Linked DNA regions of Elephas maximus indicus. The protein of the gene in region 2 purifies or fractionates together with the protein of the main gene of each other region. This does not show direct contact. Links are inferred from orthologs where the notes say so. Each region holds a gene or a part of one and is shown on either strand. Other genes may lie near its edges. The genes, in order: GSK3A and AXIN2.

Region 1 (8,059 bases), on a different chromosome or scaffold from region 2:
AAAAGGCCATCTCTGCATTCTCCCCCTTTCTCTAGTCCCCTCTGTGGGTCTCAGAACTCCCTGCCTCCAAATATCTCTCATTCAGGGAATCAACTCTTAGCAAATTCTGATCGACACCCTGCCCAAGAAATCCTAGGCCTTGACCATGTTCCCCTCCTAACCTACATCCAGACTAGACCAGACTCCAAAATGCCAGTCCTTTGCACACCAGTTATTCCTCTACTTTCTTCTTCTCCATCTTCTTCTAGTGCCCTGGGCCTCCACTAGCCCATTGGGCACCTTCACATGAATGAGAGAAGGGCATCCGGCAGCAAAGTGCAGGGTTTGGTGAGCGCAACTCGCCAAGCACCTGGGGCAGAGTGGACCTCCATGGCCCTGCCAGTGTCCTTTCTCCTCTGGGAAGAAATGTAACTAGAAGTTAAGGTGCAGGGCCTGGCAATCAGACAGGCCAGACTCCAACCTTAACGTAGACGCTTCCTATGCAATTCGCTTATCTGAGTCTCAGTTTCTGCCTGCTTAGAACGGGAATAAGGACAGTACCAACCCTCAGAGAATATGTAAATTAGCTAAAAGCTTGCCTATGAAGCATACGTTACACGTGTCACAGAGTAGAACAAAGCTCTGCAGGATCTTCTTGGCTGTGATCTTTAGGGAAGCAGATTGTTCGGTCTTTCTTTCTGAGGCACTGCTTAGATGGGTTCAACCACCAACCTTTCTGTTGGTAGCTGAGCGCAAACCGTTTGCACCACCCAGGAACCTCATAAAGCACTTACGCAGAATGAACGCTCAACAAATGTCAGCTCTGGTATCTCCAGGATTCAACACTTCCTGTCTTCCCTACACCTCGTTCCCTTCTTTACCCCTTTCTCCTCTGGGCCATGATTGGATCTCCTGTGGAACCCAGGCTCCATCTGTTTTGCTAGGGCTCTCGCACCAGGTTACGTCCAATGCCCAACTCTCCTCTTCCCATTCCCCCCTAAGTACCTTGAACCTCTTGTCCTGGAGAACCTTCTTGATGGCCACCAGCTCCCCGGTCTCGGCCAGCCGTGCCTGGTACACGACCCCAAAAGAGCCATTGCCAATCACCTTGATGTCTGTGTAAGCCACCTCCTGGGAGCGCTCTGGGCCCTGGCCTAGGGTGGCTACCACTGTGGTCACTTTCCCGCTGTCACCTGGGGGACAATGGGGACAGATGATCCACTGACATTTCCCCTCTGGCCACCACCCCATCCCAGGGCTGTGGGGAGGGGGCCTCTTTGTTCCTTCCCCCTCCTTGAGGCAAGGTGGATGCTGGAACCCTCCCAGTGAAACCCTAAATCCTGCCTCTTTCCATAGGGGAGCATGTTGACACCTAAATCTCTTCACTGTTCAAGAGCTGATAATACAACTTCCATTCTAGAAAGCAATAAATGGCTGGTCACTCTTGGTTGAATCCATCTACTCTGGGTTTATTGACTTTTAACGGAACGATAACCCTGAGATACTCCTATTTTGAGAAAACGCCTGCGGGGCTAGTAATTTCTAAGTTTCTCAGGTAGAGCTAGTAACTTGGTGACAAAAACGAACGACCTCTCCTCATAGAGTGGTGGTACCCTGACTCTCACTTTTGGAGGAGTTACCCCTTACCCAATTACTACGGGGTTAGAAAAGGCACTGACCTGACCTCCTCATCTGGGTAGTCCAGGGCCCCAGACTCCTACCTGACAGACAAGCACCAAATTGTGAGAATGATGAACTTAATCCCTATCATCAGGGGGCTCTCCCAGCCTCAGTTCTTTAAAGAAAAACTATGACTCCCAATCCCCATTCTCTGAAGAGCAGCAAACTTTGGAACCATTCTTAGAGAATAGTGACCCCTTTTCTTTTGAGAACTGAGGACCCAGTAACAGCGATTCTCTTTTGGAGAGAGATGACCCTACATCACTTTTTCAGACCCAGTGGCACCATACTCCAGAAAAATTACTAAGAGAATTACGACTTCAAATCCACATTCTAGGGAGGACTCTTCCCCCCCCCCATTCCATTTTTGTGAAAAAACACCCACCGATCCATGTTCTTTAAATAACAGTGGATTTGAAAGGCATGGTGACTCTCAATTCCTGTTCTGTGGGGGGCTGGTGACACCTGTCCTTATTGCTCAGATGCAATAATCAATAATTTCCACCATTGGGGGTTTAGTACTACATATTTTGGGCCGGTGATGACGCCCGACCAGGTGTTTTAAAAGGGAAGATGACCTGGTTATCAGGTTTAGAAAACCCTTGCCCTGTTCTTTGGGACACAATAACCCCAAATCCCCGTTTGTAAATGATACTGAATCCAGATCCCCAGTCTTTGAGAGACAACAAATTCGGATCTCCCTTTTTGGAGGATGGCGATCTTATTCTTGTTTTCTTAGAACACAATAATCTTAGGCCCCCATTTGCAAAGGACAGTGACCCCAAAACCTGTTCTTTAAGGGATACGAATATCCAAACTTGTTTTTAAAACTCAAAAACGCGAGACATTGGTAATGGAAGAGCACGGACTGTAGCCCGCTTCTCTAAAAGTTAATAATTCTGACTGTAAACTCTAAATAATGGTGACCCCAAAATTCATTTCTCTGAAAAGTAAAAAGCTCAAACGCCAGTTTTGGGAGGCACAATGACCTCAGGCTCTTATCTGGGTATATGAAAGAACCTGATCGACATTTGAGGGACCCCGGGAATCCCAATCTCCACCTCCCACGGGAGCAGCCAGTACTCACGGCCCAGCTTCACTCCGGGCGGCGGGAAGCTGGTGCCCGCGCCTGGGCCGCCGCTGCCTCCTCCGCCGCTGCTGTTGGGGCCACCCCCGGAGCTCGAGGTCCCCACGCCCGCACCCATGGCCCCGACCGACGCCTTCCCGCCGCCACTGCCGCCTGGACCGGAGGCCGAGCCCCCGGGGCCGCCACCGCCGCCTCCGCCTCCGCCGCCCGGTTCCGCGAACGAGCTGGTCCGCGCCCGGCCCGAGCCCCCAGGGCCGCCCCCCGAAGGCGCGCCACCGCTCATGGCGCCGAGCGCAGACCCAGGCCAAGGGGCTCGGGCTCCCCGGGCTGCCCCCGCCGCCGCTGCTGCTGCCGCCGCCTCCTCAGTGCTCCGGCCTCCTTCAGGCCGCGCCGCTCGGGCTCCGGCCCAGCGCCCGCCGCGGAGCACGTCGGGAGATGCAGTCCGCTTGCTTTGCGCGTCGGTGTCACCGCCGTCGGCCCGTAGAGAAAGCCGCGTGGTACGCCGGGAAATGGAGTTCGCAAAGGCCACAGGGAAGATGGCGGGGGACGACGGGTCGCACTGCACGCTGGGAAATAAATTCCTGGGCAATCCATCGGTGAACTGCAGACGGCGGAACGCGAAGCACTTTGGAACATAGTCAGGGCCCCACACTTATTACACTGCGGCAACGGCGAGCCCCGAGAGGTGCTTCAGAAAAGTAGTCGCAGGCACTCCGTCAATGAGCAGTGTCTGGTGCATGCCGGGAATTGGAGTCCGGTAACCAGTGAATACCGGCTCCAGGTGCACACTGGGAAATTGAGTCGGTCCGTAGACTTGAAGATATCGAACCGTGGGGCAAACTGGGAAATGGAGTCGTGGCCGCGCCCACACCGCATTGCGGATGTAAAGGAGTTCCCAAAGCAAGCCGGGAAATGGAGTCCTGTGAGGTTCCTCAGCCCCAGGGGGTACTGCAGTTCCGGAGATAGGCTAGGAAATGGAGTTGGAACCTCGTCCCCCCTCCCTTGTACGCTCCGCCGCACTTCCTGTCGGGAAATGTAGTCGACACCAAGGCGTCAGCGCAGTTGCTACACGAGGAGTGGTGGCTTCTGGGGATTGAAGTTCAAGGTAGCCTCCCCATTGGCGGGGGGAGGGGTGAGGAGAAGAGGAAGGTTGTCACTTTGAGCCTGAAGCACGCTGGGGAATAGTCCAGGGTCCAGGCCGGATTCTGACCCCCCCTCTGTGAAACGAGACCGCAGGGGCTTGCCGGGAAATGGAGTCCAATGACTACCACTGAGCCAGATGGCACTCCCCTTGAGATACTGAAATGTGTTTCAACGCCTCCTTTTTTGTCCCCCAGGACCCAAGAAAGTGCCGAAGTCGATCGGGGGATGTTGAAAAATTGAGTCCGAGCACTCAAGTTCCAGGTGTCCTTACATTAGGCAGAAAAAGAAAAACATCCCTCCTCTAAAAGATTTGGGAAACAGTCTTTCAGAACACAGTTTTCGGATACGGTCTATCTTTTTCTAACATGTGTCGCACTACGAGGCTGAGCCAAGCGTTAAAAGAAATGAAAATAGAATTTGTCTTGAACCCCCACTCAGCTCTTTGCGTCCGCCCGCATCCTAAGTTACAGGATCCTGGAGGGCTCACAGGAGCTCGAGTGGCACAGTGATTAAGCCTTCGGCTTCTACCCAAAGGTCAGTGGTTGGGAATCCACCAGCTGCTCTGCGGTAGAAAGATGGGGCACTCTGCTTCCGAAAAGATGTAAAAAAAAAAAAAAAAAAAACAGCCTTGGAAACCCTGGGGGCAGTTCTGATCTGTCCTACAGGGTCGCTATGAGTCAGAATTGAATGCACGGCATTGCGTTTTGTTTGAGGTTCGGAGCGCTCAAAACAGCGAAGCCAGCTGCAAGCTGTAGCCTAGGGTTGGTGTTCGTTGAGTCGCCTCATCAATTAAACGAGAAGGAGCGTAACCCCAAAGTGCGCTGGGAAACAGAGTTCGTCTGTGCGTGCATGCGTGCGTGCGTGCGTGCGTGCGTGCGTGCGTGCGTCTCACCCCCAACACTTGAAACTAGAGCGAAAGCGCTCTTGGCTCCTCCTGCCTCGTGGAATGGTGGGAAATGGAGTCTTTGGACGCTAATCCAAGCCTCAGGTAGCAGAACTGTTCTGCTCTTTTCTGAGGCCTAAAGAAAATCCCGTCCACTCAGTGTGTTTCTAACTGCAATTCCCAGCAGACACAGCGCCCTGGGGCGAGATTGGCTTTAGCGCTAAAACCTTTTCGGACTACATCATCCAGAAGGCAAAACGCGGGCACGCTCCGTTTCTTTCTCACGGCATGAGGCTGTATCACGCATAGCTTGAAGCAGGTGTTTCTGGGAGTTGTAGTTTCTCGCTAAGCGGCGCCTGCTGCCCTCTGACGGCAGCTTGGAGCAGGAAAGTAAAAATCTGAGCCAAGCGCCAGGGCCTGGAGACCACACTGGACAGGACGGAGGTCGACAAGGCCGGCAGAGCGGGGCAGGGTAGCGGCGGTTACTTAACGGCCAGAACATACGCAGTGGGCTCCGCGTAGGCAACCGCTGCTGAGGTTATTGGGGCCCATGGGAGTCTGAGGGCGACGATCTAAGGGCATCTGTCAGGATGTTTGTAGGGGCTGAAAACATTCATAGACAGGTGCTAGGGATGGGTTGTGTCTATGAGGGGCCTAACGGTGTCAGGAGGGTTTGAGGGTTTGAAGAGGTGAAGGGATCTTTGATGGGCTGTAGGCACCTGAGAGCAATTATTGGGGACAAGCAGAGAAGTCTGAGGGGACGTAAAAGGCTTTTGGGAGATGGAGAATCTACTGGTGTCTAAGGGATCTCTGAGGGACCTGAAGGGTTGAGGGATGGTTGAGAAGCATCAGGAAGGGGCTATAGGGATCTGTCGGGGTGCTGGGGGCTATTAGATGTGAAGAGGGTCTCTGATGAGGTAAGTGAATATGTAAAGAATCTATAAAGTACTTTATACTTGTAGCCAAAGACTTCAGAGGAGATGGAGAGAACCAAGGGTGTCTTGCAGGACACTTTAGTATTTCAGGCCTGTGAATAGATTTAGATGTGTCATTCAAGATTGGGGGAGCCACTGGAGTTGTCAAGCCCAGATGCTACCTGACATCCCCTTATCCAGAATCTGGGACAAGAAGGCTGATAGGACTGTGGTCTGATCCTGGAGAGCAGTTCTGGAGCTGAGAACGTTTTAATCCATTTTAGAATTGGTTAGCAGTGTTTGAAAAAAACTCTTCATGAGCTAAGGGTCCTACCCCCCTTCCTCCAGTGACACCCCCCTTTCTCCATCACCCACCACCAATAATTTCTCAACTGCATCTGTGTTGCTAGGAGACATGCCTCAGCCCAACTTCCAGAAATAACCCAGCACAGCCGCTCCCAGGGGCCCCCACCCCAGGGAGTGACTTACATCACCCAGGAGAGGGAGCAGTTGCCCGCAGCCCGCCATAGGAGTCTGGATTTCCTGCCAATACCCCATCCCTGGATCCTCTTCACTGCCATTATCTGGGACCACCCACTCTGGGCTTGCATGAGATGAGGTTTAAGGGAGAGTGGGTAGACAGTTGCCAATGTTCCATCCCCCTCAGGCTTGCACCGGGTGGTACTGCAGTGAAGCCAATCCAACAAGCCCTAAGCCCTAAATGCCATGGCCTTGGGGAAACCCCTTCTCTTCTCTTCCTCAAGGACCTCACTTGCACTGAAGAGGTTGAGCTTGTCTCTAAGGAAACTTTAAACCCGGATTTCTCACGGATTATTTGATCCCTCATCCTACAAAGCTCTCCAATCTTGGTTTCTAACTTTATCCTGTGATCCCAAGTCCCTGATCTTGATCCAACCATCTTGGCTTTAAGGAGGAAAACTCAAAGGAGTTGTTGAAAGAACACTGGCTTTGGAGGCTGATCTCATTTAAAGTCCTGGCTCTGCTTCCTACCGCCTCTTGGCCTTGGGCAAGTCATTTAACTGAGCTGGTTGCCCCTACCTTGCTGGGTCTTGAAGGAGATAAACCACTGCAGCTTCTAGCTAGGTGCTGGGCACGAAGTAGGTCAATGAATGGTTAACTGTGGTTATCAAACCAGTCCCTCCTCAACTTGCTGGCTGGGGGCGTTTCCACTAAGGTACGTAGTAAGGTCTAACATTTCAAGATGTTTCAGGACTTGTCTCCCAGGGATTTCCTGATTTGCTTAGAAGTGACCTAAGGCGAGATATGGGGGCAGTGCAAAAGCACTCCCTGGCCCTCACTAGGGACCTCAGGGTATGGGAACTTGGAGCCAGGGCATTTCAGGTGACCAGAACAGTGAGAGCAACTCGGTGGTGGCGATAAGTCCCAAGCACTTTTCCAGGAATAAAGAAGCAGTCAGATACAGGGCCAGAGTCTGCTGAGACCTGAATCATTTCTGAGGTCAGGAGGTCACTTCCCAGGCCCGGATTTGACCCATTTAGACCAGGCCACAGACCCACTGCAGGTGCAGGGAAGTCCAGGGCCCTGTCTTTTGAAAATCAAGCCAAAGCTGTGGCCCCGTGGTGCCTACACCCAGCACCCAGGACAGATCACTGCATGAAAAAGGTCCGAAGTTTTATTGTTTTGAATACATTCTCCAGCAGCCCCTCCCTACCTCCCACCCCCCCATCCCCAATACAGAATAAGGCTTGACCACAGCCCCCCACCCCACCCCAGGGGCCCCAGCTGGGAGGCAGAGGGGGTTTCCAGTTTGGTTTCAGGGCACCCCCCTTTTCCACCCCCTGCACCCACCTGCCCATGGGCCAGTCCTAGGAGCAGCTGGGGGTGTAGGGATCGGACTGGTGCTGGGGTGGAGAATGGGAGAGAGATAGCAGGCACTTGTAGAGATTTGTGGCCCATGGGTGGTACCCCTCACCCTCCTCCACCCCCCTCCACCCCCCCCCACGGAATTTTTGGTTCATCATAAAAATTGTCCCTCCCTCCCCTGCTGCGACCTTGTGGGGTATGAGAAACCCAGGCACTCATGGCCCCTGGAAGGGCAGGGAAGGCAGGGTTGGGACTGGGACCACCTGGGGGCAGAAGAGAGGCATGAGAGGCAGAGGACAGAAGGGAGACGGCTTTACTTCCTAGGCAATTATAATAAAAAAGTTCCTGGGTGTTGAGGCCAAAGCCTCGTTCAAATAAAAATTCCCCAGAATGGAGGCAGCCCCCTTACCTCCCCAACTTCTCCCCCCCCTCCCTCCCACCACTTTGTCCAGAGCTTAGAAACCCACAGAGACAGGAGATAGCCCTGGGCACCCACCCTCCCCAACCATTAAAAAAAAAAAAAAGTTT
Region 2 (7,138 bases):
AGGAGAATCCGGGGAAGCCCGCCCCTCTGGTTCCCCCAGCCCATCCTCGTTCCGCCTAGTATTGGAGGACACAGGCATGGGTTTGGTGACCTGGCCCTTGCCCAGGCCAGCTTGGCACGGCGGGGTCTCCCCTTCCTCCCCAGGGACTGGGGGCCGTGGGGCATCCTCGCGGAAGCTACTGCTTGGGTCCGGGAGGCGAGTCACCAACGCAGCGCTACTCATGGTGAGGGAGTTCTCACTGAGTTTGGGCTTTTTTCCTTCCAGTTCCTCTCAGCAATCAGCGTGGTCTCTCTTTCTCTCTTAAGTCAGCAGGGGCTCATCTGAGCCTCCTCTCTGGAAAGAAAAGGAAGGGGGGAGGTGGGAAGAGAGAAAAGGGCATTGATCTAATCAAAACCAGATCTACCCAACATCAAAGCAAGAAAGTAAACAGGCTTTTCAACTCCTCAAATTCAAATCAAGCAACCCAGCTATCTGTGAGGTGCGCATCTGAAGTATCAGACGCTGCTTTTTCAAAGGCGAAATCTGAGCTCCCAGTATTTTTTGGGGGGGAGGGGGTGGGTGGAGAGGGGCGGGGAAGTGGAGATGGGGAAGAACGGAGATGCAAGCAAGGGGGACAGAAGGAGGGTAGGGACTGTGGGAGACAGAACCTTCCAAAAACCCGCTCTGCCCATGCATCCACGCACGCAGGGCAGCGCGGCCCACGCCTCCCCACTCCTTCCCCCTCCCCCGATAGCATCAACTCCAAACGACCCACTCCGAGGCGCGGGGCTGCGTACAGGTGAAACCAATTTCGGTAAGTTTCCCAACTCAGCTCTCCGCACAGATAACTGGAGCTCCAAACGTGCCCTTCCTCGGCATCTGGTTCCCATTCCCCCTTCCACCCCCTTCCTTCTGCGCTCCCCCTTCCACTCCTTAAAAATTCAGAAGCCCGCCCAGCACAGGGCGGAATGGGCTCTCGGACGCCGAGATCCAGCAGGCAAACGCCCCCACCCCAACCTAGATGTAAATGTCCGCTGCGCCCTCCCCCAGCCAAGAATCCGACTCCATCTCCACCTCGGTCTCCCCCAAACCAGAACCAACTCACTCAGCCTAGCCTTTGATCTTCAAACTTTGCAAGAGAACAGAGAAGCCTCGGGACCCGCCGCCCGGGTTCCCCCCTCCCGCCCACCTCCGGGAGCGAACCCTACAAAACCGGATCAGAAACCGTCTCACGCTACCACTGCCTGTACCAAGAATCCCAAACTCTACCGATCTGAAGCCTTTAAAAAAAAAAAAAAAAAAAAGTCTTATCTAACCAGTAAAGAAGCCTCTTTCCCTAGCAAGGGAAGGATCAAAATAAGGAGGGCGGGGGGGCCAGGGATACGGCGCGACCCCCGGCGAGGCGCCGGGGCTCCCCGACCAGGGTTGGGTGCGCGCGGCCCCCGCCTGGGGCCTCCGCGGCCGGGCAGGGCACCGCAGCTGACGGAATGGAGGGGCCCCCGGCAGCCGCCCACGGTACCCGGGGGAGGGGAGGTGGGGCGGCCCCGTTACCTGGCAGACGAAGGCGGACCGAGGCCGGGCTCTCATCTCTGCCAAGCCCCTCCGCACCGGCCCCCCAGCCCAAAGCAAACCAAACGCGTCCTAAGCCCCGCCGAGAGTGCCGTCGAGCGCGGGCCCGGAGCCCCGGGGGGTGAGGGTAGTGCCCCGGGACCGAACCGGGCCGGTCCCCCGCTCCACGCTCGCCGAGGCGCCCGCAGAAAAACCACGGAAAGCAGAGGCCAAGTCCAGAAATGGCGACGCGCGGAGTCTCCGCCGCTCCGCAACCGGGGCCGATGCGGCCAGGGGCGCGGGGCCCGGGCGGGGAGACGGCACGCGGGCGCCCGGGCTCGGGCCGGTCCTGCGCGCAGACTGAGCCAGGGCAGGCGCTCCGGGCCCCTTAGCGCAGGGAGGGGTGAAAGGGAGGGGGAGGGAGAGGAGCTGGGTGGGGGAGAGGGCTGAGGGAGGGCGCGCGGGGAGGGCGGGGAGCCACCACCCTTTCATCCCACCTTCCAAAAGCACTCCCGCGCACACTCACACTCTGACTCCCATCCATAACAGCAATAGCGGCGCGACCCCTGGGGGAACCTGCCCCTCTCCGCCGCCGCCGTCACTTGGCCAAGTCTCCTGGCCAGGCCCCCAGCCATCCCGGCCAGTGCTGGGGAGGGGGCTTCGGTTCAGGGCGTCCAGGCAGAGCCCCCAGAGTGCTGGGCGCCGGGCCCGCTGCTCCACTGCACGCCGGCGCGGAGCGCGCCCCGAAATAGCTCGCCAGAACTTCAAAGGGCCGCCCGGTACATCAAAGCGCGCGGGCCGCCCCGCCGACTCTGCCTGGCACTCACCATTGATCCGCGCGCGCGCTCCGCGGCGAAACCTCGTTGGCGCCCTGGGCAGGGCCCCGGCCCCGGCCCCCGGCTCGGCTCGCGGCGGCAGCCCCGGGCCCCCCCGGGCCGTCCCCGGCGGCGGGGAGCATGGGGAGTCGCGCGGCGGGGAGGGGGCGGTGGAACAACAAGCTCGGATTAGAGCGCAATCCACCGGCTAGGGAGGGTCGCGCAGCTCGCCCCGCCGCCCCTTTTATGCAAAAGATTCGCCCGGGCCTCCGCCCCCACCGCCCCGCCGCGGCCGCCCCCGGCCCCTCGGCCCCCGCCCGGCCGGCTTTCAACACAGGTCCTGTTTCCAGCAGTTACTCCGCGCACCAAATGTCCTCCGGGCGCTTCCAACAAAAACTGCGCTGTGGATTTAACTGTGCACTTCAAAGGCGCGAGCCGAGCGCACGGTCCTGAAAGGGAGGTACGCGCCCGCCGCGCACCGGGCCGCCCCCCGCACCCCCAGCACCCCTCCTGTGGGCCGTCGGGCCCGCGGCCCCCTCCCCAGCCCGGCCTCGGCCCCACCGGGCCCCCCTCCCCCCGAGCCCGCGATGGGGCTTGGCGCGACCTCGTCCCAGGGCCAAGAGGAGGCTTCCTCGGAAGCAGCTCTTCGGGGCCCAGGCCTGCACCCCCACCTTTTACACCAGAGTTTTCTGCGGGGGAGACGGGCGGCTCCGACGCCGGGCCGCCCCAAAAGCCTAGGCTATTGGGGGGTATTTTTATTTCCAGGCGCTCGGGTCGTTACTGAGTTGCCAGGACCTTATCAAAGCGCAGCCGGCTCCAGCCGACTCCCCCGGGCCCGGCTTCAGGAGCCAGTGATCCCGCCGCGCCTATCACAGCCGCGCTCGGCTGGCCCGCGCCGCCCGCCTTAAAGGGACAGCACCCGCTCCCGACCCGCCCCCGCCGCACGCTCTGCGCCCGCGTTAACCCTTCCCCGGCCTCCTCCGCCCCTTGCCAGCCCCCCGCGGCCCCAGCGGCTTTCGCAGCCCGAGTTTCTGATTTCGTCTTCCAAGTTCTCTGGTCTCTTTGCTCTCGCCTCCTCCCCTGCCTTCCCTCGCCCTCCCCAGCTCTGGAATGCAACAGTTTATTGTAGCATTCTGGCGATCGCCAGAACTGCAAGCAAGCAGATTTTTTTTCCCCCTATCATCAAACACTTTTCTACCTCCTATTAAAGTTTCTCTGAGAATTTGGTCTTGGAGATCCTTGTAAAGGGATTTCTAGCCCTGGGATCGACAGGCCAAGTGTCATAGAGCGTCCGCGGGCTCGGGCGCAGGCGTGTGCGTGCATGTGCGCGCGATCTGAGTTTGGGTAAATACAGGGCTAAGGTGCGTATGTGGAAGTGGGAAGATGAGGGCGTGAATCTACTAGCACAGGCCTGAGAGCTTGGAGACGCTCCCTGACACCTCGTTAGGAAGCATTCCTAAATTTCCCGAAGATTTAATCCCAACTCCTAACCTGGCCTGGCCCAGCGGATCCTTCACTGCACGCACATTGACCATCTCTCTGTAGCAGCTGCACACCCGTCATTCTCTTCCAAGCGTCCTCCGTCCTCCCATATGTTACGTATTAAGCTGACATGGGCTGTCTTCTTTCCCCCTAGACACCGCGGTTTTAACGTATTGAAAGCACCTCATCGCACTGCCACGGTCCCACCTTCCCCCAATAATGTTCATGGGACACAACCTTCTCTTTTCCCCTAGGACAGTAAGAAAATATACCACACATCCCGGAACATTATATGTTTGTTCATCTATTGCTTGAGAATGATCTCTCATGGGATGACCTAAAAAGTTAACTCTTCCTCTTAAAAAGCATTCAGAGTATAAACCAAGGAGCGTCAAGAACTGCTGGGCAGAGCCCCCAGCCTCATCAGAGCTAAGCCTGGGATTTGGCTCTCCACTTCCACTCACTTTTTCTTCATTTTCTTTCTTCTTTAATTTCATGTCTGACTAAAACCAAGCAACCCTGGTGCTGTAGAGTAGATTCCAACTCACGGCCACCCCACGTGTTAAGGAGTACAGCTGCCCCATAGGGTTTTCACAGCTGGAATCTTTAGGGAAAGAGATCACGAGGCCTTTCTTGCTGGGTGGGCTTGAACCACCAACCTTTCAGTTAGCAGCTGATTGCAAACCGTTTGTTCCACCCAGGGACCTTTATGTCTGACAAGCTCTTTTAAATGTAGAGGTGCCTCTAACCCCTCATCAGGCTGTTTAGGTTTCCACAGGAAAAGACAAAGAAGATATGCCACCCATGGTATGCTGGAAAAGGGCAAACCTCAGGGACAGCATTCCACTGCCCTCAGCATAGAACGGTGGGACAAGGGACTATACAGCCTTTGCACCCATGCTGCCATAGTCTCCAGCTCCTGGGTGCCAAGGAGGGCAGCATCTCCCTCCAGGAGACCTGCCTCTCTGTGTCCACATTTGCCCCTCTGGGCAACACCTCCCCAGGTGGCAGGGCTGGCTTAAAGCCAGCAGTCCAGGCTATGAAATACAGCCACCTCAGGGCAAACCAGGAAGGTCAGAGAGAGTGTGGCCTGATGAGTCATCTTTGGGTCACTGTTGGGTGTGAGGACACTGGAAGCCAGTCTGTCTCAGGTTGGCTCCGTCTCCTGGCCCAGCCTCCTGGAATCCCAAGGGTGAATGGCTGCCGGCCCCTCTCATGTGGCTTGTGGGTGTGAGCTCTGAGCTGGTGTATGGGACCCAGGGCCAAGGGCACACCCACCCCACTCCAGGAGAGCAAAGAACAAAGCTGTCCCTTGGGTCAGAACCTGTGGCTCCAGGGAGTCTTTAGGCCACAGAGGGTGTTATTAAGGAACAAAAATGTATACAGAGAGGAATGGAATGAATTGCCATAGAAGCATCTACAATATAAACAACAGCGTGCACGTGCGCACGCACACACACACACACACACACACACACACACACACACAATGTGGGGGAGGGGAGGTGGAAATATCAAAACATCAAAATCAAAATAAACAGCATTCAGAAAGAGGAAGGTTCAAAACAGGAAGTGGAAACTTGGTCTTCATGGGTGGCTTTCCTCCCCTCCCTGCTGTCCCGGCTGACCCTTCACGGCCCCCCACCCAGCCCTCATCATCATAGGATCCCTTTAACCAAAGGACACCCCTTCAGTGCCCTCATTATCCCAGTGCTGCAGTGGCAGGAAGGAGGGGCTGACCGTGGGAAGCAGGAGCAAGGCCTGGCTCACTTTGGATCTTCTCAGGAACAGCCCTTTGGAGAGGGAGCCTGGCTACCACAACAGGTGCTTGGTCACCTCAGGCCCATGACTGCCCCCCCATCTCACCCCTGCCCTGCTCCCCTCTCTCCTCTACTTCTCTGTGGTACATTTTCCACCCAGCAGGAGACAGGGCAAAGTGCTGAGAAGCCAGAAGCTCTCTCTAGCCTCTGTGTCTTTGACTACTTGTTGATAATATTTCTAGAGAAAAAGCCAAAGTCCTTTGCTTTTACTCAGCCCCTTTCTCAAGATAGCACCATGTTCCATTTTCCCCTTCTCCCTGGCAGCAGCACTATCATGTGACTTGTTGTAATCCTGCATGGTTGCCTGGAAACTAGAAAGCAAGGTGATGGATTTCTGCACATGCTCACTCCCCGCCCCCCTTTAAAGAAAAACCCTACAGAGAATAAACAGGCCACTTTGCCCAAGTGCAGACAAGTTTAATAAAGCTGGAGGGGGGGTGGTTGGTGATTCTCTTCTGGAATTATGTACTGGACTGAAATCCTAGAATCCCAGAAAACCAGGACTCCGGGCTGCCTGAGAGGCATCTGGCCAGATCGCTGACCTTTAGTGAGCCCCACAAAAGCCACTCTGGAAGGAAAGTCACACCGCCGGGGCTCCAGGGGAACTCAGACCCAAGACGTGGCTCGCTAAGATTCAGAAACGTTGCCTTTAATTTCTTTGGAAAAGTGCCGCCTTAGACAATGTAGCTTTGTTTAGGGAGGGAGGTGGAGAGAGACACAGGTAACCTTTCCCAAGACTGTAGGTGACCCAACCACTGGGAGTCTCCCTTTGTTCACCTATAGAGTGGAAAAACCGCCCCCTCAAAAGGCTGTGGTAGGGATGAGCCATAAAGAAAATGCCCAGCAAGGTGCTTGACACATAGTAGGCACTCAAAACATGGTGGTTATTTCTGTGTAGCTGCCCTGTCTCCTCAATAACCTATAACCTGTTACCTGTTCTGGAAGAAACTGCCCGTCTACAGAGCAAAGACACCTTCCAAATTAGGAGCCATACTCCTGGGTTAGGGGCCTGGAACCTGACCAAAGAGGTCCTCAAAAGCCTAGCTGTCATCCCTGCACAGAGGGGCTGGGGCTGGGGGAACAAATGGGACTGTGCCTTTCTGCCCTCTTTCAAAGACAGTCCCATATCCAGTGCCCAAAAAGTAATATCAGAATATCCCAACCCAAGGGGTCCTTAACATGCTATCTAATTCAATACCATCATTTAACAGAGGAGGGACATCAAGCAGAGAGAGGGTGAAGGGATTTTCCCAAGATCATTTTGCCCATGTCAGAGCTGAGCTAGAACCTCCCAGAGGTCCTGATTCTTGGTCCATCCTCTCCTTTTTCCACCACATCAAGGTGAGGAGACCAAGAGCAAGGCTGTTAAGAGGTGGGCCTGAGCATCTTGAGTCCTTGACTTCCACGGAAGGACTAATAAATAGGATTTGGGATGTTTTCCTCAAAGAATCAGAACAGAGCTTCAGCCTCAAATTACACAGAAGCGTGCCTCAT

Evidence for each region.
Region 1: the proteins of AXIN2 (region 2) and GSK3A purify together in Homo sapiens (affinity purification with mass spectrometry; 3 studies listed by BioGRID and IntAct, with this or other methods). This does not show direct contact. The link is inferred for Elephas maximus indicus from reciprocal best matches to the Homo sapiens genes AXIN2 and GSK3A.

What each region holds. Positions count from the first base shown.
Region 1 is NC_064829.1:108,673,327-108,681,385, reverse strand, and holds the start of GSK3A (glycogen synthase kinase-3 alpha), read right to left. Parts: upstream 3,215-8,059; 5' UTR 3,030-3,214; coding exon 2,747-3,029; intron 1,701-2,746; coding exon 1,659-1,700; intron 1,173-1,658; coding exon 985-1,172; intron 1-984. UniProt on the Homo sapiens protein: Constitutively active protein kinase that acts as a negative regulator in the hormonal control of glucose homeostasis, Wnt signaling and regulation of transcription factors and microtubules, by phosphorylating and inactivating glycogen synthase (GYS1 or GYS2), CTNNB1/beta-catenin, APC and AXIN1.
Region 2 is NC_064837.1:58,198,268-58,205,405, reverse strand, and holds the start of AXIN2 (axin-2), read right to left. Parts: upstream 3,155-7,138; 5' UTR 3,138-3,154; intron 3,127-3,137; exon of another isoform or gene 3,014-3,126; intron 2,612-3,013; exon of another isoform or gene 2,355-2,611; intron 2,349-2,354; exon of another isoform or gene 2,054-2,348; intron 1,904-2,053; exon of another isoform or gene 1,531-1,903; intron 334-1,530; 5' UTR 223-333; coding exon 1-222. UniProt on the Homo sapiens protein: Inhibitor of the Wnt signaling pathway. Down-regulates beta-catenin. Probably facilitate the phosphorylation of beta-catenin and APC by GSK3B.